4 linked regions of the Arabidopsis thaliana genome follow. The protein of the gene in region 1 purifies or fractionates together with the protein of each later gene. This does not show direct contact. Each region holds a gene or a part of one and is shown in the gene's direction. Other genes may lie near its edges.

The links.
Region 2: the proteins of AT1G52380 (region 1) and IMPA-1 purify together in Arabidopsis thaliana (affinity purification with mass spectrometry, with the first as the bait; one study listed by BioGRID). This does not show direct contact.
Region 3: the proteins of AT1G52380 (region 1) and IMPA-5 purify together in Arabidopsis thaliana (affinity purification with mass spectrometry, with the first as the bait; one study listed by BioGRID). This does not show direct contact.
Region 4: the proteins of AT1G52380 (region 1) and MOS6 purify together in Arabidopsis thaliana (affinity purification with mass spectrometry, with the first as the bait; one study listed by BioGRID). This does not show direct contact.

Annotation. Positions count from the first base shown.
Region 1 is NC_003070.9:19,507,124-19,512,196, forward strand, and holds AT1G52380 (NUP50 (Nucleoporin 50 kDa) protein), read left to right. Parts: upstream 1-1,828; 5' UTR 1,829-1,982; exon of another isoform or gene 1,983-2,814; 5' UTR 2,815-2,855; coding exon 2,856-4,178; 3' UTR 4,179-4,518; downstream 4,519-5,073. Other genes in the region: AT1G52370 (Ribosomal protein L22p/L17e family protein), read left to right, coding at 1-52, 259-326, 601-753, 860-970, 1,098-1,164, 1,290-1,576; AT1G52390 (uncharacterized protein), read right to left, coding at 4,845-4,874, 4,926-5,073.
Region 2 is NC_003074.8:2,118,391-2,124,709, forward strand, and holds IMPA-1 (importin alpha), read left to right. Parts: upstream 1-1,953; 5' UTR 1,954-2,168; coding exon 2,169-2,378; intron 2,379-2,544; coding exon 2,545-2,641; intron 2,642-2,739; coding exon 2,740-2,831; intron 2,832-2,909; coding exon 2,910-3,041; intron 3,042-3,148; coding exon 3,149-3,334; intron 3,335-3,414; coding exon 3,415-3,578; intron 3,579-3,665; coding exon 3,666-3,744; intron 3,745-4,321; coding exon 4,322-4,450; intron 4,451-4,551; coding exon 4,552-4,679; intron 4,680-4,783; coding exon 4,784-5,165; 3' UTR 5,166-5,167; exon of another isoform or gene 5,168-5,177; intron 5,178-5,257; 3' UTR 5,258-5,776; downstream 5,777-6,319. Other genes in the region: AT3G06710 (E3 ubiquitin ligase), read left to right, coding at 377-817, 927-1,223; TRX z (Thioredoxin z), read left to right, coding at 5,886-6,116. UniProt on the Arabidopsis thaliana protein: Binds to conventional NLS motifs with high affinity in the absence of an importin beta subunit. Mediates nuclear protein import across the nuclear envelope in vitro in the absence of exogenously added importin beta subunit.
Region 3 is NC_003076.8:19,991,386-19,996,659, reverse strand, and holds IMPA-5 (importin alpha), read left to right. Parts: upstream 1-1,987; 5' UTR 1,988-2,143; coding exon 2,144-2,350; intron 2,351-2,476; coding exon 2,477-2,570; intron 2,571-2,671; coding exon 2,672-2,763; intron 2,764-2,835; coding exon 2,836-2,967; intron 2,968-3,048; coding exon 3,049-3,234; intron 3,235-3,303; coding exon 3,304-3,467; intron 3,468-3,553; coding exon 3,554-3,632; intron 3,633-3,852; coding exon 3,853-3,981; intron 3,982-4,085; coding exon 4,086-4,213; intron 4,214-4,295; coding exon 4,296-4,644; 3' UTR 4,645-4,714; downstream 4,715-5,274. Other genes in the region: AT5G49320 (transmembrane protein, putative (DUF1218)), read left to right, coding at 446-610, 796-1,022, 1,196-1,577. UniProt on the Arabidopsis thaliana protein: Binds to conventional NLS motifs and mediates nuclear protein import across the nuclear envelope.
Region 4 is NC_003075.7:950,042-955,374, reverse strand, and holds MOS6 (ARM repeat superfamily protein), read left to right. Parts: upstream 1-1,684; 5' UTR 1,685-1,772; coding exon 1,773-1,988; intron 1,989-2,360; coding exon 2,361-2,460; intron 2,461-2,550; coding exon 2,551-2,642; intron 2,643-2,745; coding exon 2,746-2,877; intron 2,878-3,003; coding exon 3,004-3,189; intron 3,190-3,279; coding exon 3,280-3,443; intron 3,444-3,530; coding exon 3,531-3,609; intron 3,610-3,683; coding exon 3,684-3,812; intron 3,813-3,902; coding exon 3,903-4,030; coding exon of another isoform or gene 4,031-4,034; exon of another isoform or gene 4,035-4,121; coding exon 4,122-4,491; 3' UTR 4,492-4,829; downstream 4,830-5,333. Other genes in the region: AT4G02160 (cotton fiber protein), read left to right, coding at 1-274; AT4G02140 (uncharacterized protein), read left to right, coding at 5,135-5,290. UniProt on the Arabidopsis thaliana protein: Binds to conventional NLS motifs and mediates nuclear protein import across the nuclear envelope. Acts as a cellular receptor for the nuclear import of the virD2 protein of Agrobacterium, but is not essential for Agrobacterium-mediated root transformation.

The DNA of each region.
Region 1 (5,073 bases):
TCCACGGCAAATTACTCTTCCACACGGAATTTGGAATCCCCTTTCTCACAAGGTGGTGAATATTATACCATTTGAAGCTGTTTAGTTTTGATCATTTCGGTTTAGATAATGTTAAATCATTTCTGAATCTATTGTGTTCTTAGTGAAATTTCAAAATGTCAGGTGTTATCTTGGATTTTTGTTTTAATATAGTGTTTGTGTGTTTGAGTTGAGTGGGTGATGATTTTTTTTTTTTTTCAATTTTTGCTGTTGAACTAGGTTATTTGCAGAGTCTCTTGAGATCAACCTATTCCTCAAGACCACTGTATTATCATCTACAACAACTGGTAATGCTTCTGAATCGATGTTTCTTTTGTTTTCTATTGAGACTGGAGTTTCTCGTTTCCTCTTTGATAAATTTGCTTTAGTAATTTAATATAGCAAAATTGTTGTTAGTGGGATAGGGGAAGTGATTAAATGTGCTAGTGGAATGACTACATCTGTTATCTATCTGAATTATGCGAAAAGACACATCTCCTGAAACCATTCATCTGTGGAGAACTATGTTATCTATGGGTATGCTGCTTCATTCTTCTCTGATCTAAATCTGTATGTTTTCAGGGAATTTCTACCTCAAGACAATTGCAGGCGGGTGAGGAGCCTGTATCATCACCTTTGTCATCTCCAGCTCTGCTGGGTAGTGGAAAAGAAGAAGAGCAGAAGATTATCCCAAAGCGTCAGAAAGTTCAGGCTGTCCTCAAGTCCATAAAGCAGGTGTGTTCTCTCTAACTCCTAGTACAGTTTTACATTTTAGATGATATGTATACATCTTGATTTGTTATATGCGCTATATAATGTGCCCAAACCTTACTTATTGCAGAGTCCTAAGAAGGTCAACTTGGTTGCAGCACTAGTCCGTGGCATGCGTGTTGAAGATGCTTTGATGCAATTGCAGGTCACGGTCAAACGAGCTTCACAAACTGTGTACCGGGTAATCTCTGAGATTCGAGTTCAGAAACAAATCACTTTTAGAGTGTCTGGTCTACTCTCCTCTCGAGGCATTTGATACATTTCCTCATCTAATGATACTTAGCATACAACTTGGTCTCATAATGTAGGTTATACATGCTGCGCGGGCAAATGCTACTCATAACCATGGACTAGATCCTGACCGTCTCCTTGTTGGTATGTATACTACTGATCTACCGGATCTGTGACTGACTTGTTTTGCAACACTAAAGAAGGAAACATGATATATGTCAGAGAAGGATGTATAATTCATCTAAGTTCTTTTGATATGTGTGATGCAGCGGAAGCGTTTGTTGGGAAGGGACTCTTTGGGAAGAAGGTAGCTTACCATGCAAAAGGAAGAAGCGGGATAATATCAATACCCAGGTGTCGTCTAACAGTCATAGTCAGAGAGACGACTGCAGAGGAAGAAGCTGAGATTGCAAGGCTGAAAGTTCACAATTTTAAGAAGCTAAACAAGCGGCAGAGACAGCTGGTACCACACAAGTTGATCGAGACAAGTCCAATCTGGAACCGCAGAGGTACCAAAGGCAATCACAGGTCATCTGAGTTGGTACCGTCTCACTAAGTATCATTGTTCCGGCAACTGTAACGAGAGCTTCTCTTTTATGGTACTTGTTTGTATCGGTAATTGGTTACTATTCCATTCAATAGATATGTTGCCAGAGACAGGAACCAAAAGAAAAGTCATTTTTCAATTTATATGAATCGAAGAAAACTGTAATCTTGTAAACATAATTAACACGAATAACATATTTTTCAATGTGACCTTTTGTGCATAATAAAATAAAATAATTGAAGTCACACACAAATGTCGATAAAAATAAAAAAGTTGAGAAAGAGAGAGAGATACAGAGCTGGATGTTTTTTCCTCTATAAACCTCTTTTGCTTTCTCTCTTCGTCTCTGACCACTTTGGCTCCGGCGTTAGTTTTTTCCCTCTCTGCTACTGCTGCGGCTCCGGCTCCTGCTACGGTAAGTCCTTGCCATTTTCTCGTCACCGGTCACTTTCTTCGAATCTTAGGTTTCTTCATTATCGGGTTTATCGGAAATGGTTTGTCTCAGGGTTAGCTACTTTGATTCTAGGGTTTTGTCATGCTCTTGTTTGTTCTGGAAATAGTTTCCGGTCATTTCTTTTATTTTGGTTCTTGATAGTTGCTTTGATGATTAGGGTTTTTGGTATTTAACTCGTGTTGAGATCGAGTTTCAGATTTTTTCTTCACTCATCGAATAATTTCTGAAGATGCTTTGGGGTTTACTCGATTGTTGCAGCTAACAGGAGTTTCTCTTAAATTTGATAGGTTCCTAAAATCGAATTTGGGTTTTTGTTTCCTCCGATTTAAAATCTCTTTTCATCTAGGTTTATAGATTTGAGGATAATAACAAAGTCACTGATGTTGAATTTTTCATTGGTTTTAGATTTATAAGTCACTGTATTTGCATTTCTTATATCTAAGTTTAGCCCTACTTCTTCTGTTCCTTACCTTGGAGTGTTAACATATAATTAGCTGTCTTCTTTGAATACATTTTAAGGCTTTCTGGATATTTGCATAAGGTAACGAGCAGCCTCTGTAGTTTTCACTTTCCATTGCATTGTCATGTTAAAGCTTTTGTCTTCTTAGATTTGGCATTACTCATCATCATCTGTGGCTGCAAACTGATCCGGTGTGTGTGTTTTACCTTTGGAACGGTGTTTTGCATTGTAATGTTTTATCTCTGTTTTCAAAAATTGGATTTTTATCTGTTATTATCTTTGAAGGGTATTGTTTCATTGGACTTTCTTTGTTTGTCTGTGTTTTTTTATTAGGTATTTGACAAGTGTGTTGACATTCTCTCATAACAATTCAAATGGGTGACTCGGAAAACGTTCAGCAACCTTCAAAAAAGAGAGGTGCCTTGAAGCAGCTGTCTCGTGATAATCCAGGTCTTGATGATGATGATGATTCAGCTGAACTTGAGAGTGGAACTTTCAAGAAGGCCAGTGATGAGGTTTTGGCTAGTAGAAGAATTGTCAGAGTTAAGCGCAAAGAGCCATCTGCTGCTCCAGTTGCAGCATCCAATCCATTTGCTGGAATTCAGTTGGTCCCTACGACTGCACCTGCTTCAACCCCTGTGGGAACAAATGCACCTCTGGCTGAGTCAAAATTGGCTCCAGCTGAAGCAGTAGTTGAGGACAATCAAAAAGCAAGTGATATTGAGGAGGGCGATGAAGTTGACAGTAAGAAGGTTGATGTCAAAGATGCTGTTGGGGAAGAGACTGAAAAGACTAAAGATAAGGATGATAATCATTGTGGAAAGAGTGCTGATGTCCAAGTTGCGGCTACAGAAGTAGCTCAGATGGTCTCATGTGACACAAACGTTTGCAACAACGCTGTTGAAGGAACAGACCAAACTGATTTTCCTCTTGAGAAGGATTCAGGAGGTGATCAGGCTGAGAAAAAAGAAAAAGAAGGCAACGGAATTGAGGAAGCAGATAAGAATGGCGATAATGGTGCTTTCAGCTCATTCCAACAGCATTCAAGTAACAAAAACGCATTCACCGGACTTGCCAGTACAGAGGCTTCAGGGTCTTCGTTCTCATTTGGTTTGGTTTCTCAGGATGGTTCAACTGGTACTGGGTCTCTCTTTGGCTTTGGCCTTCCAAGCAGCAATAGCTCTTCTATATTCGGTGCAACTGGATCGTCCATTATCAAGAAGAGTGAAGGTAGTGGGTTTCCGCCAAAGCAAGAGGTTTCCACAGAAACAGGTGAAGAGAATGAGAAAGTTGCCTTCTCAGCTGACTCGATCATGTTCGAATATCTTGATGGAGGATGGAAAGAGCGTGGAAAAGGAGAACTCAAGGTAAACGTCTCCAGTAATGATGGTAAAGCAAGATTAGTTATGAGAGCTAAAGGAAACTACAGATTGATCTTAAACGCGAGTCTTTACCCAGAGATGAAACTTGCAAACATGGATAAAAAGGGAATCACATTCGCTTGTGTGAATAGTGTAAGCGAAGGCAAAGAAGGTCTCTCTACATTTGCACTGAAGTTCAAAGACCCGACAATTGTTGAAGAGTTTCGTGTAGCCATTGACAAACACAAAGATAGTAAACCAATGGAGAAAGCAGCAGAAAAATCAGCTCTTCCTCTGAAGACACCTGAGAACTCTCCAACAGCTACAGATACTTGAAGAAAAGGTAAAAAGAAAAAAAGAAAAAACATGTAGAAACACTTCTCTCGTCTCTCTCGTCTCTCTTGTCTTTTGTCTTGTCTTGTTACTTCCAAGTAGTTGAATTTTGAGGCAGAGGAAAACTAAAATATTTGGAGAAGTTTGTTGTTTTTTTTACACAGTTGTTGAGACTTTTTGGTTACATGTTTCTGTTTGTAGAAGGAAACCATATATGACTTAAATCTGCATCCTTGATTTCTTTTTATGTTCCACCATATGAATGTGACTGGACCAGATAGGTTTCAAATTGGTCCTGAGATTTTAAGGGCTTAAGATGTGTTCTTCAAATCGTAGATTAATCGTGTTGTCAATTAATCTGGATTTGTAAAGCTGGGTTTATAAAGATCGGTATAAAATTGATCTAAGATTCACAGAGTACAAAGTTGGTGGGTTTGGGTTACTGAGAAAATTTGACATGTGTTAGTACTGTAGTTATGTTGCTAGAGTGTTTTGATTAAAGAGGTTAGTAGTTGGGAAAAGCAGAGCCTGAAAATAGAAGTGAAACACGAATAAAACAGCAAAAGTTTAACAGAAGAAAGATGAAAGGTCAATGTTTTGAGAGTTACATAGAATGATGAAACATTGTTGCCAAACCAGGGGGTAGTTGAGACCTGCTGCGCACAGAGGTTAGTCATCAGAACCAGTATCTTCTATGCCCTTACACAGTGAAAGGTGTTTCCAAGACACTATGTACTTAGCACACATTACCGCCGTCAGACATTCATCATCAGGTAAAGTCCTATCAGGGATTGTTGCAAAAAGTTTGAAACCTCTATATCTCAAACCTTGAAGAAATGGCCAGAATTGATCATCTTCTGAACTGGCATTCGCGATTAACAACAGGTTTCGGCCCGCA
Region 2 (6,319 bases), on another chromosome or scaffold:
CAAGACTGTCTTCATATCTGGCTCAATCTCCGCGGATACAAGCAGTGCGAGGTTATTATACAAACCTCTTTTTCTCTAAAGAATGAGGTTCTTGTTCTATAGCGTTATGTGACAATTTCGTTTTCGATTAAACTTCAATTTCTGCGATTTTAGAAAGAATATCAAAGTTATTTACTAGTATTTTGTTATGAGTGATGTTTTTGGGGATTATATTTGTGTCATGGTGTTGGGATTTTCGATTTCTTCTCTGTTTCTTGTAATATGGGTTTAAGAAGAATCTCGCACACCAAATGTTTGATGAAATGCTCTCTGTTTTCATTGTAGGACGCTCCAGAGAGACTTCCAGTTCACGAGTTTCTAATACGTGTTTGTGTTAATGAGAGCATCACCTTACGTGAGAATGGTTGTTCCTTGGGCTATGGCGTTTATCTTGAACACATACTGCCTTTCTTTACATCCTTTGGGCCAAGAAGTTGTTGTTGGGTTCAAGAGAGATTATGGAATGTCTACCAAGTCCGCATGTTTCTTAAATGGCCTGTTATACAACGGTCATCTTGTGTTTTTCATGAGGATACCCATACACGAGCCCATTATCGCGAGACATCCTGCTGGGTTTCAGGCTGACATCTTGATTAAGAATGTCTTAGGAGATGGGTTTGTGCTTGTTTTATGGAAATATAACAAGATCGTTTGTGAGTGGTATTATTCTCTATTGCAAAGCTTCTTCGGGGAACCTCCTAGGCTAGTTGGTGTTGCTGTTCACGAACTTGGAGCCATTGGACGGCTGCTTTTCTTTCTGGATAACAAATCTTTTGATGTAAGTCTAATGTCCCTTCTAGTTCTCTTCCTTCGTCCACCCTATGTAACTTAATTACCATATGGAGCATGTTTTGAATAACAGGTTCTGTTTGTTATCTTATCTACAGGCTCTTACCATCAGCATATGTGTGTCTTTCTTCTTTATTCTTCTGCCGTTTTCTTTTCGCTGGATTGCAATAGCAATTGTAGGAGGTGGCGGTTTATTCGAAAACTCACCTGTCATTCTTGGATACATGATGACGCTGTCAATTCCCTTTGCCTACTTAGGAATTTTCCTCACTCTGCGTCAAATCTCGTTTCCAGCCATAGTCAGGTGGTTTTCCTTGGGATATCACTTCATAACAAAGAAACTGTCCTGCCTCCTGAGCAAAAATCTCGTTTCCTGTCAACTGTTTCGCGACTAAGGCATGGCGGGGAAAGTTCAAGAGAATCAGAAACGTGGGAATCAATAAGCTTCCTTCAATGTGGCTGCTTCAAGATGTGATTGGTTCGATCATAACCACACTTCTAGCCACACTCTGCATCCCTTACTTGCTCTTGAAGTCTTTGTTACCTCTGCTTGGATTTTCCCGTAGCGCCAACCCAGCTATTGAGCCGTTTATCTGGCCGGCGTTGTTAGCCTTGATTGCGGTCTGGTTCATGGCCAAGCAAACTTATGATCTCGTCAGTTACTTTCATAGGTTGGTCTTCGATGATCGGTATGTAGTCGGTTAAAGAGTGGACAATCTGACTGAGGATATCTCGCTAGAGAGAAATAACTAATCCATATATGACAAACAACGACTTTTCATTGGAAAGGAAAAAATGTATAAACACAAACGTAGATTCAAAACTCAAAAAGTTATATAGTAACCAAGGTCTATATACGTTAATATTAAGATAATCGCAGTCCACTTGTAAGTCATGAAAACAAAAGGATCTTCAAATTGTTGAGATATAAAGAAGAATACATTAGCTTGCCTCAAAGAACACAATAGTAAGGGGCTAATTATGTAAATAACCTAATTGTGGACACCTGTTTGCATAAATAAATAGTGGCAAAACTGTAAATAAGTGAATATTTTAGCAATTACAGTATAAATTAAGAACAAAGATTAAAAATAAATAAAAAAGTGCTTTCATTCTTTGGATGCGCTGTTGTCAACTTGTCCCTCGCTGCCTCTGCTTCTTAACTCTTTCTTTATCACTTTTCCACTCCCAAATCAATTTTTAGGTTTTTTTTATAATTATAATTTATTTGCTCTCGGCAGGATCTATATAATACACAGACCAGTCTTTGCGTGTGCTTGTGTGCATTCATTGATCGGGTTTATATCTTTTCATCGGATTTTCTTTGTCGAGCAAGAGCCATGTCACTGAGACCCAACGCTAAGACGGAGGTTCGCCGGAACCGATACAAAGTTGCAGTGGATGCGGAGGAAGGACGACGGAGGAGAGAAGACAACATGGTTGAGATCCGTAAAAGCAAGCGTGAGGAGAGTTTGATGAAGAAGAGACGTGAAGGTATGCAAGCTCTTCAGGGTTTCCCTTCAGCTTCCGCCGCCTCCGTCGATAAGAAGGTACAATTCTGGTTTTTAGATGATTCGATTGTACTCCTTGTTGTCGGTTTTCTAGGTTTTTGTTTGTGATTTTCATGTCGGCTTACTGAGGTTTTAGGGTTTCGTTTTTGGGTTCTGGTTACGGTAGTTGTCTTGTGATTGATTGGCTTTAAAAAAACATTTGTAGTTGGATAGTCTGAAGGATATGGTCGCTGGGGTTTGGTCCGATGACCCTGCCTTGCAGCTTGAGTCCACTACTCAGTTCAGGAAGCTTCTCTCTATTGGTAATTCCTTTTCTTAATTCTCTTTTATTTCCCGTTTTGATATAATTTGGAGTGTCCCCTTTAACTTTTGTCTCTCTGTCTCTATTATAATTGCATAGAGAGAAGTCCTCCAATCGAGGAAGTGATAAGTGCTGGTGTTGTTCCTAGGTTTGTTGAGTTTCTTAAGAAAGAAGATTACCCCGCCATTCAGGTGAGATAATTAATGTCTCTTATTGATTCATTCTTCACTGTAATCTTCTCTTCTCATCTTTTATGATTTTTATTTTAGTTTGAGGCAGCTTGGGCTCTAACAAACATTGCATCTGGAACATCGGATCACACTAAGGTTGTAATCGATCACAATGCTGTTCCAATCTTTGTTCAGCTTCTTGCTTCCCCTAGCGATGATGTTCGTGAACAGGTATGGAACTTCTGATGACTACAGAATGTCTTCTCATTTATTATGAGAGATTATGCAATTGAAAATTTTGTGAAACCCTGATCTTAAGATTTCGCTCTAACCTGCAGGCTGTATGGGCTTTGGGTAACGTTGCTGGTGATTCACCACGGTGCCGTGATCTTGTTCTTGGATGTGGGGCACTGCTTCCGCTGCTCAATCAGCTTAATGAGCATGCTAAATTGTCCATGCTTCGAAATGCCACTTGGACCTTGTCAAACTTCTGTCGTGGCAAGCCTCAGCCTCACTTTGACCAGGTCTATTTTTTTCCCCTCCAAGCTTGTTTCGTCAATGTTTATGTCTAGTATTCTTCTAACATATGAAGCATGTTTAACAGGTCAAACCTGCTCTTCCCGCCCTTGAACGACTAATTCATTCAGATGATGAAGAAGTCTTGACAGATGCCTGTTGGGCTCTTTCTTACCTCTCTGATGGGACCAATGACAAAATCCAGACTGTCATCCAGGCCGGTGTTGTCCCAAAACTTGTTGAACTTCTCCTGTCAGTACCATTTTATAATTCCCTTATTTCATGTCCACTTCACACATTTGTTGACAAATAACTTGATACCTTGCTCTTGATTTTTAGCCATCATTCTCCATCTGTGCTAATTCCTGCTCTTCGCACTGTTGGAAATATAGTTACTGGAGATGATATACAAACACAGGTATGGATCTAAATCCTGTCTATTGAATTTCTCACAGTATTTCGGTTTTGCACATTGTATATGATAGTATATATTTTTCCTACTATGCCAAAGAATATCTTTGTGGTTATGCAATTCTTTGGCCTTTAGGAATAGGTCTGAAGATACCACTAGAACTTTTCATTAATTGAACCGATAGCAAAAACATGTCGAAGTTAGTGATATACCATGCATATCATCTAATCCAAGACTGGTAATTGCGATGAGGTGTTGTTCAAATGTATGGCACCCTGTTGCTATTATTCATATCCAACATTTTATGTGAAAAATGGGAGTATTGAATGCTTATCATGAGATTCTCCCTCTGTTGCCACTCTGTCCATATTAGCAGATAGGATGCAGTGCCTTTTTTGCTATATATTGCTTGTGTTTGAGTTTTGTTACAATTAATTCTTGTTTTAAAGTTTAAACCAACAACATGCACAAATTTTTTGCTTGGTGAAATTTGGTTTTTCATGAGTTTAGCAAAGGTGATTTTTCTATATCTGAAATAGTTTACATCGTTTTACTTGGAAATCTGATTTTACTTCTTCTCCAGTGCGTGATCAATAGTGGTGCTCTACCTTGTCTTGCCAACCTGCTCACTCAAAACCATAAGAAAAGCATAAAGAAGGAAGCTTGCTGGACGATTTCAAACATCACAGCAGGCAACAAAGATCAGATCCAGGTAGGCAATTAGTACTGTTTCATCATATGTTTTGTACCGTTTCCCATCCAGACTTCTATACCTATTCATTAATTGTGTTGTTTTTCCCCTGATGGTTGCAGACGGTAGTTGAGGCTAATTTGATTTCCCCGTTGGTGAGTCTGCTTCAAAATGCTGAATTTGACATTAAGAAGGAAGCTGCATGGGCAATTTCAAATGCAACTTCAGGTGGTTCTCATGATCAAATAAAGTATGTCACTGTCTTTTTTGCGTTCCTCTAACTTCCAGTTTCTTCTCTCATATATATACTTTGTGTATATATATATTGATGTTCTGTTCCCGTTGGTTATACAGATACCTGGTGGAGCAAGGGTGCATAAAACCATTATGCGATCTCCTGGTTTGCCCAGATCCAAGAATCATAACTGTCTGCCTTGAAGGATTGGAAAACATTTTGAAGGTGGGAGAGGCAGAGAAGAACTTGGGTCACACAGGAGACATGAACTATTACGCTCAGCTGATTGATGATGCAGAAGGGCTAGAAAAGATCGAGAACCTTCAGAGCCATGACAACAATGAGATCTATGAGAAGGCTGTTAAAATTCTGGAGACATACTGGCTTGAAGAGGAAGATGATGAGACACAGCAACCTCCAGGTGTTGATGGTTCTCAGGCTGGGTTCCAGTTTGGAGGGAATCAAGCTCCAGTACCATCCGGAGGATTCAACTTCAGCTGAAGGTAAATAAAAGTAAAAATTCTTAAATTTCTAACAACGTCTCTTGATGAAAACATGCAAAATCTGATATTTAGATCAATATAAACCCACAGGAATGGAATTGGAAGCTTGCAACTTGAGAATGGTGAAAGGTCAGAGTCAGTCAGAGTCTAGTTTCACTGCCATGGTTATACTCCAGGTCTGGTCTGGTCTGGTCTCAGAGGTTTGTACCGGGTGGTCGGTTTAAAAGTACAGCGTCTGAGAAAGTGTTTGGTTCATTGTCCAGGGCTATTTTTTTGAAATGACTGGTACACCGGTCGTGAGTCGACCTTTGTGTTGTTTTTAAATTTTGGAGGGTTATAAAAACTTACAGTGGAGTCTTTTGTTTTTGTGTTGACAACAGTTTGTATGTCGGTTAAAAAATTGAAACCATAAACCCTTTATTGGTCTTAATATGTTTGGTGTCTGATTTCCTAAGGAAAGGTTTTTTTTTTTTTGGTCAAACCTAAGGAAGGGTTTATCTTCGAGTTATAAAGACTCGAATCTTTATTTGAATTATGAAGTAAAGTATACATAAAACAGCAATAAATTATTATGAATTTGACTTTACCTGAGCAAGTAAATTGTAAAAAGACAAGAACTAATGAACTATTAGTATATGTCCAGTTCAATTGCCTTATCGTCTAAAACCCCTCAAAAGCTAAAACTGAAATCATTTTGAAGCAGAAATCGATTTCCAAAATGGCTCTTGTTCAATCCAGAACTTTTCCACACCTCAACACTCCGTTATCGCCGATTCTATCCTCCCTCCATGCTCCGTCTTCTCTCTTTATCCGGAGGGAAATCCGACCGGTAGCCGCGCCGTTCTCCTCCTCCACCGCCGGAAACTTGCCCTTCTCGCCGTTGACGCGTCCGCGAAAGCTTCTCTGTCCTCCGCCTCGCGGCAAGTTTGTCAGAGAAGATTATCTTGTGGTACGGACAATTTCTCGCTTTCTCTCACGCTCCAAACAACATATTTTGTCGATTTCAAAAAATTTCATGTTTGTTTTCGTTTTACGACTTCCTTTTTCGCCTTTCTGGGAAATTAAGTTGGCTGGGCATAGATGTAGTTATTATATAAGAACGATATATGGTAGTTCTATCAAAGATTCGACCAGTACACTGTTAAATACTTC
Region 3 (5,274 bases), on another chromosome or scaffold:
ACCTTATCTTTTTATCTTTATCTTTATTTACTTTCAAGATAATAAAAGGTACGATGTTCTTTGTATGAACACAAAATAAAAAGAAGAAAAGAATGTTCTTATACACGTGTAATATATGAAAAGAATCATCCAACTAACTCCATTAACGAACTCTCGTCACATTATATATTTTACACATCATCGTTTAATAGACACTATACGAAAACAGTATAGTATTTCTAAAAAGACATCCGAAAGAGAACCTGCGAATCTTGGCCTTTAAGCAACCTTTGGCTGAAGCAATTCTTCTATCCTCCTCTCCTTTTTCATTTATTTATCAAATATACTCCAGTTTATTCTTTTCTTCCCACTTTCAATGCCTCTCATATATGTAAAACAAATCAAAGTATAATAACTCTCAAAACATGTAACTTCGATTCCTATCTATTAGAAATTGACGAGAGACATGTCGAGAACAAGAGTGCGAGCTGTGACCCATCAAGATCTTGTTCCAAACCCTAAAACCACAGATCTCAGCAGCAAAACCGGTATTTTCATCGCTGTTTTGACAATAATCTTTGGCCTCTCCTGCTTTGTTCTCTGCCTCTATGCCGAAGCCACAAGATCTCAGGTACATTACTATACAGGGATGTATATAAACTTTCTCTCATATGTTTTCATCATTTATATTTTCAAAATAAATCAGAAATCTATATTGATTCATGTTTTATATTAATTACCATATCGTTCGATTATAATAGTATTTAGTATAAGTTATATCATTGCCATTAATATGTTGTCAATCATTTGCAATAGGCGACATGGGGAAGCAAAACATGCGTGTATAATGGTAGCGGGAAAACGCCGTTGTTGTGTGGTGCGATTGCGTTTGTGGGACTAGCGGTGGCGATGGTGGGCTTCCACATGTACTTACTTATCGCAGTCACCACATCGCCGTCTCTGGTTCTGGTTGAGTGGGATCCTGACTCTGTTCCTGCGAAGAGGCTCACTTTTCAAGCTGCCTTCTTCTTCGTCTCAACATGGTACGTAGACTTATTCTAACGCAACGAATTAATGTCATGTAGTTATAAAAAATAAAATAAAAATAAAAAAATCCTAACTATAAGCAATCGTGAAATGACATATTTATGTTACTGACCATAGCTTAAGTTAATGATAATTTTGTGATTATATTATTCTTTTTTGTTCCTATAAGGGTTTGCTTTGGTGTTGGAGAGGTTCTACTGTTGGTTGCACTTAGTGTGGAATCAGGACATCTAAAGAACTGGTCTAAACCAAAACCTAGTTGTCTAGTAATCCGGCAAGGCTTGTTTTCAGCGGCCGGAGTGTTCTCACTTATAACCGTCTTTCTAGCCACGGGACTTTACCTAACCGCTCTTCAAGCACATCGAATCTCTAAGGATCTTGAAAACACACATAGAGAGATCATCGAGGCATCAGTTCTTTATGCATCTCCTCCAAGATCGCCTACAAATCGGATGGCTACGGTTGCTCGAGAAGGTCTTGCTACTGTTAGAGATGAATCGACGTCTTTGGAATATCTTGTTTCTTTAAAGCAACTTGCACATATAGTATAGTGTACAATGTATAGTAGTTAACATAATCATATGAGAAAAAACAATGTTTTTACTTCTTACATAAGCAATTCAAAATCACAAACCAAAACCTACTTTTTCCAATCAATACATGAACTTTACCGGAAAAGTAGGTTTTCCTTCGCCGGAGAAAACACTACACATCTAACGAGTAAACTCTGCAAATATGGTTCTTTTTATCGTCGGTAACGAGTAACTAAACCAACTTCACGGTTTAGTTCGGTTTAGATTCAAGTATTTTAGCTTATAATAATTATTGACTAATTATTTCAATTTGGAGCTCTTAATAATATGATTGTAAACTTTATCTTAAATTTAGATTATCAATGATTTATGATTCAATCTACTGTATAAATACGGTTAACAATTAAAAACGATAATTAGAAAACCCTCCCGCTTCTTCAAATTGAAACTGTTGTCGCTTCTTCTTCATCTTCACCACTCTTGCATTCTCTTCTTCACTTTGCAAATCCCATTCAGTTCAAATTTCTAGGGTTTCGCTTCGATTTTGTGAATTGATTTAGAGAGGTCGAAGAATCGAGAAAGCTATGTCCTTGCGACCGAGCACGAAGACAGAGATCCGTCGAATCCGTTACAAAGTCTCTGTAGATGCGGAAGAAGGACGCAGAAGAAGAGAAGACTTTTTAGTCGAGATTCGCAAGAGTAAACGCAACGAAAATTTGATGAAGAAACGTCGTGTAAAAGTTTTGCCTCCTGATTACAAGTTGATTTCCAACGACCCCTTTGAGAGTTTGGTAAAAGTTTGATCTTTGGTTTTGGATTAGTGAAACCTAGGTTTTGAAAGATACGACCTTTATCATTATACTCGAATGCTTTCGAATTGGGTAATTAAATTAGATCCTCTCTGGTGATGGTTGTAGTTGGAGATAGCGAATATGATCACTGGGGTTTTCTCGGATGATCCTTCATTGCAGCTTGAGTACACAACTCGGTTCAGGGTGGTTCTATCATTCGGTAAAACTCTTTACTTTTCTTTGATCTTGAGTTGAAAAAGATACGAACTTATATTTACTTGAATGGTTTCTTAAAGTCTTGTGGTTTTATATATTGTTCAGATAGAAGTCCACCTACTGATAATGTGATAAAATCTGGAGTTGTGCCACGTTTTGTAGAGTTTCTTAAGAAGGATGATAACCCTAAGCTTCAGGTTAGACTTAAAGTTCCCATCTTTGATGATTAGTGTAATCTTTGGTTCTGAATTCTTTGATCTTTTTTATAGTTTGAGGCTGCTTGGGCTTTAACAAACATTGCTTCTGGCGCATCTGAGCATACCAAGGTAGTGATTGATCACGGTGTTGTGCCACTCTTTGTTCAGCTTCTTGCTTCCCCTGATGATGATGTCCGTGAGCAGGTATAGTGCTTCTTCTGAGTATGAATGGTTAAATATGTGAGTTCAAATTTTGAAGAGTTTGATGTTACACTTAATTTGCAGGCTATATGGGGACTGGGTAATGTTGCTGGTGATTCAATACAGTGCCGTGACTTTGTTCTTAACTCTGGGGCATTTATTCCACTGTTGCATCAGCTGAATAACCATGCTACATTGTCGATACTTAGAAATGCGACTTGGACTTTATCAAACTTCTTCCGTGGCAAGCCTTCACCACCCTTTGACCTGGTATTCTTACTTCTCTATTTCCTCAGTTTTATAGGTGCAATACTTAAACTTATGAAACATGATTTATAGGTGAAACATGTTCTCCCTGTACTTAAAAGACTTGTTTATTCGGATGATGAACAAGTCTTGATAGATGCTTGCTGGGCGCTTTCGAATCTGTCTGATGCTTCAAATGAAAATATCCAAAGTGTGATCGAGGCGGGTGTTGTCCCAAGACTAGTTGAACTTCTCCAGTTAGTACTTCTCTCCAAATATTAAAAAATTTAACCGTTTGATACATGTTTGGATAATGAAGGCTCGCCATTTTTTTCTTTTGCAGACACGCTTCTCCAGTTGTACTTGTTCCTGCACTTCGTTGCATTGGGAATATAGTTTCTGGAAATAGTCAGCAGACTCACGTATGTAATTCATATTCCTTTGATGGAGCCTTCAAGAACACGTCTCTTGTACACCGTGTGAATTTATTGTTTTTCAAAGCAATAGCACTATCAAAAGCTTAATTTGTAATCCTGTATCTTGGATGATTATATCCTGGAGAACACTTCATTTATATGTTGCTTGAGTACTGTGTTGAGATTAGATTTTGTAACCAAATAACTCTTTGAACTTATTTTTCAGTGTGTGATCAATTGTGGTGTTTTACCCGTTCTTGCTGACCTGCTTACTCAAAACCATATGAGAGGCATAAGGAGGGAAGCTTGCTGGACGATTTCAAACATCACTGCCGGTTTAGAAGAACAAATTCAGGTGAGCATGAGTTTGTGATTGTTACTGTTGCAGAACTTGAACAATTTACGTTGCTATCACTAAATATTTTCTATTTGTCTTTCTTGCATTGATGATGATAACAGTCGGTTATTGATGCAAATTTGATTCCATCGTTGGTCAATCTGGCACAACATGCTGAATTTGACATAAAGAAAGAAGCTATATGGGCAATTTCAAATGCTTCCGTGGGTGGTTCTCCTAATCAAATCAAGTACATCCCTGTCTTCTTTCTTTATCACTTTTTTCATGCTTATTGATCATCTATATTCACAATATCCATTGGTGTGTATCAGATACTTGGTGGAGCAGAATTGCATAAAAGCTTTATGTGACATCCTGGTTTGTCCAGATCTAAGAATCATCTTAGTGTCTCTAGGTGGACTGGAAATGATTTTGATTGCTGGAGAGGTGGACAAGAACCTAAGAGACGTGAACTGTTACTCTCAAATGATTGAAGATGCAGAAGGGCTAGAAAAGATTGAGAACTTGCAGCACCATGGCAACAATGAGATCTACGAGAAGGCTGTGAAGATTCTGCAAACATACGGGCTTGTAGAGGAAGATGGAAGGTTAGTTGAAGAGGAAGATGAAGGTGGTGATGGTTGTTCTCATCCGGAATTCCAGTTTGATTTTTCTCGTTAAGATCCCACATAATCTGATATTAGATTTTGATGTAAAGAAATAGCTGTCATATTGAACCAAAAGCATGCACATAATATGATGGTCCTAAAAGACAAAACAATGTGGATTCCAACAGGAAGTGGAACTTGGTTCTCTAACAGCTACTCATCATATTGGAATCAAGTTCCACTTCCTGTTAGAGAACCAAGTTCCACTTCCTGTTGGAATCCACATTGTTTTGTCTTTTAGGAAAAAATTTTACTCAAATTTACCGAACTAACGGTCAAAATTAAGAAAGGGTTAAATTATTTGTTTACCGAACTAACGGTCAAACTTTAAAGATGGATTCAGTTTTTTTGACGCGGGACGGATTTGTTTTTTTTTTTTTCTTTCGAAATGGATGGGCTCTTATGCTATGGGCTTTGGTATAACGTAAAAGGCCCATATATTCCGAAACCACTTTGTGTTTCGTTTCCATGGAGAAATTGAATCATCGAATTTGGTCGCCACTTTGAGAATTTAGATGAATTCGATAACAAGCTCAAGTAAGAAGGTGCAGAGATGCTTTATTATTTCTTCGCTCGTTGTTAACTCTTCTTCATTCTCGTCTCTGCTATTTTTTCTTAAGCTTCGATCAAAAACCCTAAACAA
Region 4 (5,333 bases), on another chromosome or scaffold:
CGATCAGGTATCGGAGATGGTTGAGGTTCTCACGGCGACGTCTAGTTCTTGCTCTTCGGGAATCTCGGGATATGGATCAGCAAAGTCGTTGCGAGATATGGATTGTCTTGATGAAGATGATGATGATGATGAAAATTATGGTAATGATGATGGAGGTGATGAGATGATTGATGCGAAAGCTGAGGAGTTTATTGTGAGATTTTATGAACAGATGAGGATGCAAAATCAGGCTTATACAGAACGTTACAAAGCTAAAGAGATGATGATGGTCTAAATCGCACATTGTAATTCTATTCACTGAAGCATAATGTCATATTACATGAGTATACATATATGCATGGAGACGTGCACAGAGTTTGTCTTTGATTATTTCGATGATTTTTTTTTTTCGTCTATTATTTCGATGATTTAAGTAATGATATATATATTGTATTCAGTTAGTCTTGATTGTATACTTTTATAGTAGACGATGAATTTGTACGCAAACTATATTAAAATATATTTATAAAACTGATGTCATTTTGGTTTACTATATATCATCTTCAAGTCATAATGCTAGAACCAAATTGCAGCTAGCTTCTTGTGAGTGATATAGTAGATGATGAATTTGTACGCAAATTATATACATGACTCTGAGCTTCTTTGGCAGTTTTCCTAGGGTGTCATATACATGACTCTGAGCTACAAGCCTTTGTTGTTGTCATATTTCAAGCAATTCGTTTTTTTCTTTTTTTTCTTTTGAACCAAAAACCCAATAATGAGTTAAGTAGAAGTTTATAATTCACTTATGGGTACAATCCAATATAATTTAGAATTTTCCTATTGGTTTGAGAATCCAATTTGCTTGAAGAGAAAATCAGAGACATGGAAGCTAAAGAAGAGAGATTAGAAGTTTATGATGTGGAGAGTAAATTGAATCGGTTGCAATTCGGTTTATTATACTAGATTTTTGGTTTGGCATTAGGTTTATGACGTTAACCTAATAATAAACTACAAAATTTGGTTTTGTGGAGACTAAATTCTCTAACTTTCGATTTAGGAGGATATAATAATTTACCTTCTATTTTGTGTTGACTGTAAACGAAGTTCTAAATCTGTGTAGTTGTGGTACTATGTGAAACTGCGTAGGGGAATAGAGGTCGTTCACTCAAGTTTATAAGATGGCACAAATAGAAAGAAATCAATTTAGTTGTTCTCTCATTTGAAAGGAATTCAAGCAATATGGTTGTTCTCGTCTTTCCAAGATGCATTGAATAGTAAAGCATCTAATTAGTAAAGTTCTCATAATGCTCAGTTGCTCACATTGATCTTTTTACCCCTTTTAATTAGAGTACAGTCTTGTAAATTACGTTGTTTTAGCCAAGTTTGGCCTATGTAATAATTTATTTGGGCTTTAAAAAGCCTCTTCAAATTAGAGTATTGCTGCTGCAGAAAAAGAAAAGAATATTTGCGTGGAGAAAATAAAGGAAAACAAATCCATAATTAGTAGTCGGTGTATACATACCTAAAAAGGCAGAGAGACGTTAAGATTCAAATTTCAAAAAAGAAAAAAAATATGAGTGGCAGGTTCGTTATTAATGATAAAACTTAGGGGCAATATTGGATTAACAACAAGTCTCCTGAATCGTGGCCTCCTAAGTACACGCTCTTGTATAAATACACTCGCATCAAACTCCAAAACCCTTATCACTCTCTCATTAATCGAACTTGGCGTGTTTAAATAATCTTCCGATCGTTAATTCTCTTCCGATTTCGATTCGATTTTAGCGGCGATGTCTCTCAGACCTAGCGCGAAGACGGAGGTGCGACGGAATCGGTACAAAGTAGCGGTCGATGCGGAGGAAGGACGGCGGAGGCGAGAGGATAACTTGGTTGAGATCAGGAAGAACAAGAGAGAGGAAAATTTGCAGAAGAAGAGATTTACGTCTTCTATGGCTTTTGGCTCAGCAACGGGACAAACGGAACAGGATCTTTCTTCAGCGAACCAAGTATGTGATTCTTTCTTTTGTTTACGATTCCACCTTTAGTTTTTTCTGATTTTATGTTCCGATTTGATCAATTAGATCGTCTCTGTTTCATATGAATTTCTAATTGGAGATCGATTTGTTCTAGATTTGAAGTTCTTGCGATGTTTCTTTGTTTTTGGTCATAGATTTTGTATTTGATTGCAAAAACTTGCGATGTGTATGTGTTGTTTGGTGAGAGTATTTGTTACTAATGTCTGTTTAATTGACTGGGAATTTGAGCGGTGTTGAATTTGACATGTAAAGAGAATTAGGGTTGATATCTCAACGGAGATCATCAAATTTACTTTAGCTAGAGGAGATTTTTGACTATGATAGTGTCTCTTCGTGTTACAGTTAAAAGATAATCTACCTGCTATGGTTGCTGGAATCTGGTCAGAGGATAGCAATTCACAATTGGAGGCAACAAATCTCTTGCGGAAACTGCTTTCTATTGGTTTGTGATTTATGTTATTGATCGTTACTAGTAGTACATAACAATCAGTGTTTTGGTTAGAGTCTTTAGCAGTTGTTTTTTCTTTTGTAGAACAAAATCCTCCTATCAATGAAGTTGTACAATCTGGTGTTGTTCCTCGTGTTGTGAAGTTTCTTTCCAGGGATGACTTCCCCAAACTTCAGGTGAGTCGCAGCTGCAGTCGTTTTTTTTTGGATATATTGATAGTTACTAGTTTGATGTATTTGTTAACTTGCTTTTGCTGTTTACTTCTGCAATGTGTTTTAGTTTGAGGCAGCTTGGGCGCTCACCAACATTGCTTCAGGGACATCAGAGAACACAAATGTCATCATTGAAAGTGGAGCTGTCCCGATATTCATCCAACTTCTCAGCTCTGCTAGTGAAGATGTCCGCGAACAGGTATATGTTTAAATCCTCACTGTTATCGTTATTGTCACAGAAGAAACACTTAGACATTAGGATCAAGTGGAAATTCATTGAGACTGTTACCATTCTGAGTTCTGGTCTTTCCCTGACTGAGTATAGGCTGTTTGGGCATTGGGAAATGTTGCTGGAGACTCACCAAAATGCCGGGATTTAGTCCTAAGTTACGGTGCCATGACACCTCTTCTGTCTCAATTCAATGAGAATACAAAGCTTTCAATGCTGAGAAATGCTACATGGACATTATCAAACTTCTGCAGAGGGAAGCCCCCACCCGCATTTGAACAGGTTTCCTTAAATATACACACTTTATTGAATCTCCACAATATTTTTTAACATGCTTCTGATATTTTGTTACTTAAAACATTTTTCGAGCAGACACAACCAGCTTTACCAGTTCTTGAGCGCCTTGTGCAATCAATGGATGAAGAAGTTCTCACAGATGCATGCTGGGCTCTGTCATACCTCTCGGATAATTCAAACGACAAAATACAAGCAGTCATTGAAGCAGGAGTTGTTCCTCGCCTCATCCAGCTCTTAGGGTAAGCATCTGATAGTGATCATTTTAATTTTTATTGCCAGGCATGATTATGTTATCTGATTTATGTGCTTCCTCTTTCTCCGTATAGTCATTCGTCGCCATCAGTGCTGATTCCTGCTCTTCGTACCATTGGAAATATTGTAACCGGGGATGATCTACAGACTCAGGTGCATATAATACATTCACCATTCGATTTCGAGTTTTCAGAAGCAAATGTCTCTAACTTATTTTCCTAACACAGATGGTTCTCGACCAGCAAGCGCTTCCTTGTCTTTTGAACCTTCTAAAAAACAATTACAAGAAGAGTATCAAGAAGGAAGCTTGCTGGACTATCTCCAACATTACAGCTGGAAATGCAGATCAGATACAAGTGAGTTTTGTTTATAATATATGGCATTTAACAAGAAAGTCGAAAATTGAAGTTTCCTGTGTCTGATTTTATTCGAACCCGTATGTGCAGGCAGTGATTGATGCAGGTATAATCCAGTCTCTTGTTTGGGTGCTTCAAAGTGCAGAGTTCGAAGTAAAAAAAGAAGCTGCTTGGGGAATATCAAATGCTACTTCTGGTGGCACTCATGATCAAATCAAGTAAAACCATAAAAACCGAAACGAAATGTTTCCTTAACAAAGAATGGTCATTTCTAAAACACGTCTGTGTTTATTGTTTGTTTCTTCTCAGGTTTATGGTGAGCCAAGGCTGTATCAAACCTCTATGCGATCTCCTTACTTGCCCAGATCTGAAAGTTGTAACGGTTTGCTTAGAAGCACTAGAGAACATTCTCGTGGTTGGAGAAGCAGAGAAGAACTTAGGTCACACAGGAGAAGACAACCTCTACGCTCAAATGATTGACGAAGCAGAAGGGTTAGAGAAGATTGAGAATCTTCAGAGTCACGACAACAATGATATCTACGACAAAGCCGTGAAGATCCTCGAAACATTTTGGACTGAAGACAATGAAGAAGAAGGCAACGACGAGAATCATGCTCCACAATCTGGTTTCCAGTTCGGAAGCACCAATGTTCCTCCTGGTCAATTCAACTTTATTTGAAAGGTAAAATAGTTGAATTGGGTCATAGAAGTTGCTTGGACTTTTAAGTAAGCCACATATCGAACGAAAGTGGTAACATCACAAAGATGAAATATCAATCTTCTCTATCTCTTCATGCCCACTCCTTAACTCGTGGACATGAACTATGAAGAAACATAGTACGATTTTCTTTTCTTTTTGGAAGTTTGTCTCAATAACTAAATCATTTGGGGAAGAGAAACAATTATTCTGTGTTAGCCATCATCTCGTCTTTCAACAAAGTTCCCTTTTTTCATATATTAGTGCCATTACAAAATCGTAGTTATGCCTTAACTAAACCAGAAACATTTTTATTCAATAGTTAATCATTTTTACTCGCAATTTTAGAAAACAGAGAAGCTAGAAATAGTAATATACGCTTGTGGAGGTTTGAGGCAACGGTCAAAACTTCAAGAGCAATATACGCATGTGGAGTTTTTATTGGGTACTTTGGTGTCTAATTACAAATAGGAGAGATTAGTGGTGATTAAGTGGTTATTATCATGGTCATAATTTCTATATGCGAGAAATTAGGGTTTAGGCTATGTGACTAATTCGTGTATTTAAAACACTCTCATTGTTTTATATCCAACAGACAACAAGAACAACAACATAGCCAGATATAATGCTGTCTTCACCAGCTTTTGCTGCAGCACGTTCTACTCTCGGTCGTCGTCTTCATGCGAAGAGACTATCTTCTTCTACTGGTCGAACCGCTGATCCAGAGATTCATGCCCGTAACGATGGAGACGAGCCTAGTCTTTTTCCATCAGACCCCGAGGTATATTTTGACTTTGTTGTTTATATATGTCAAGCTTAGCTGT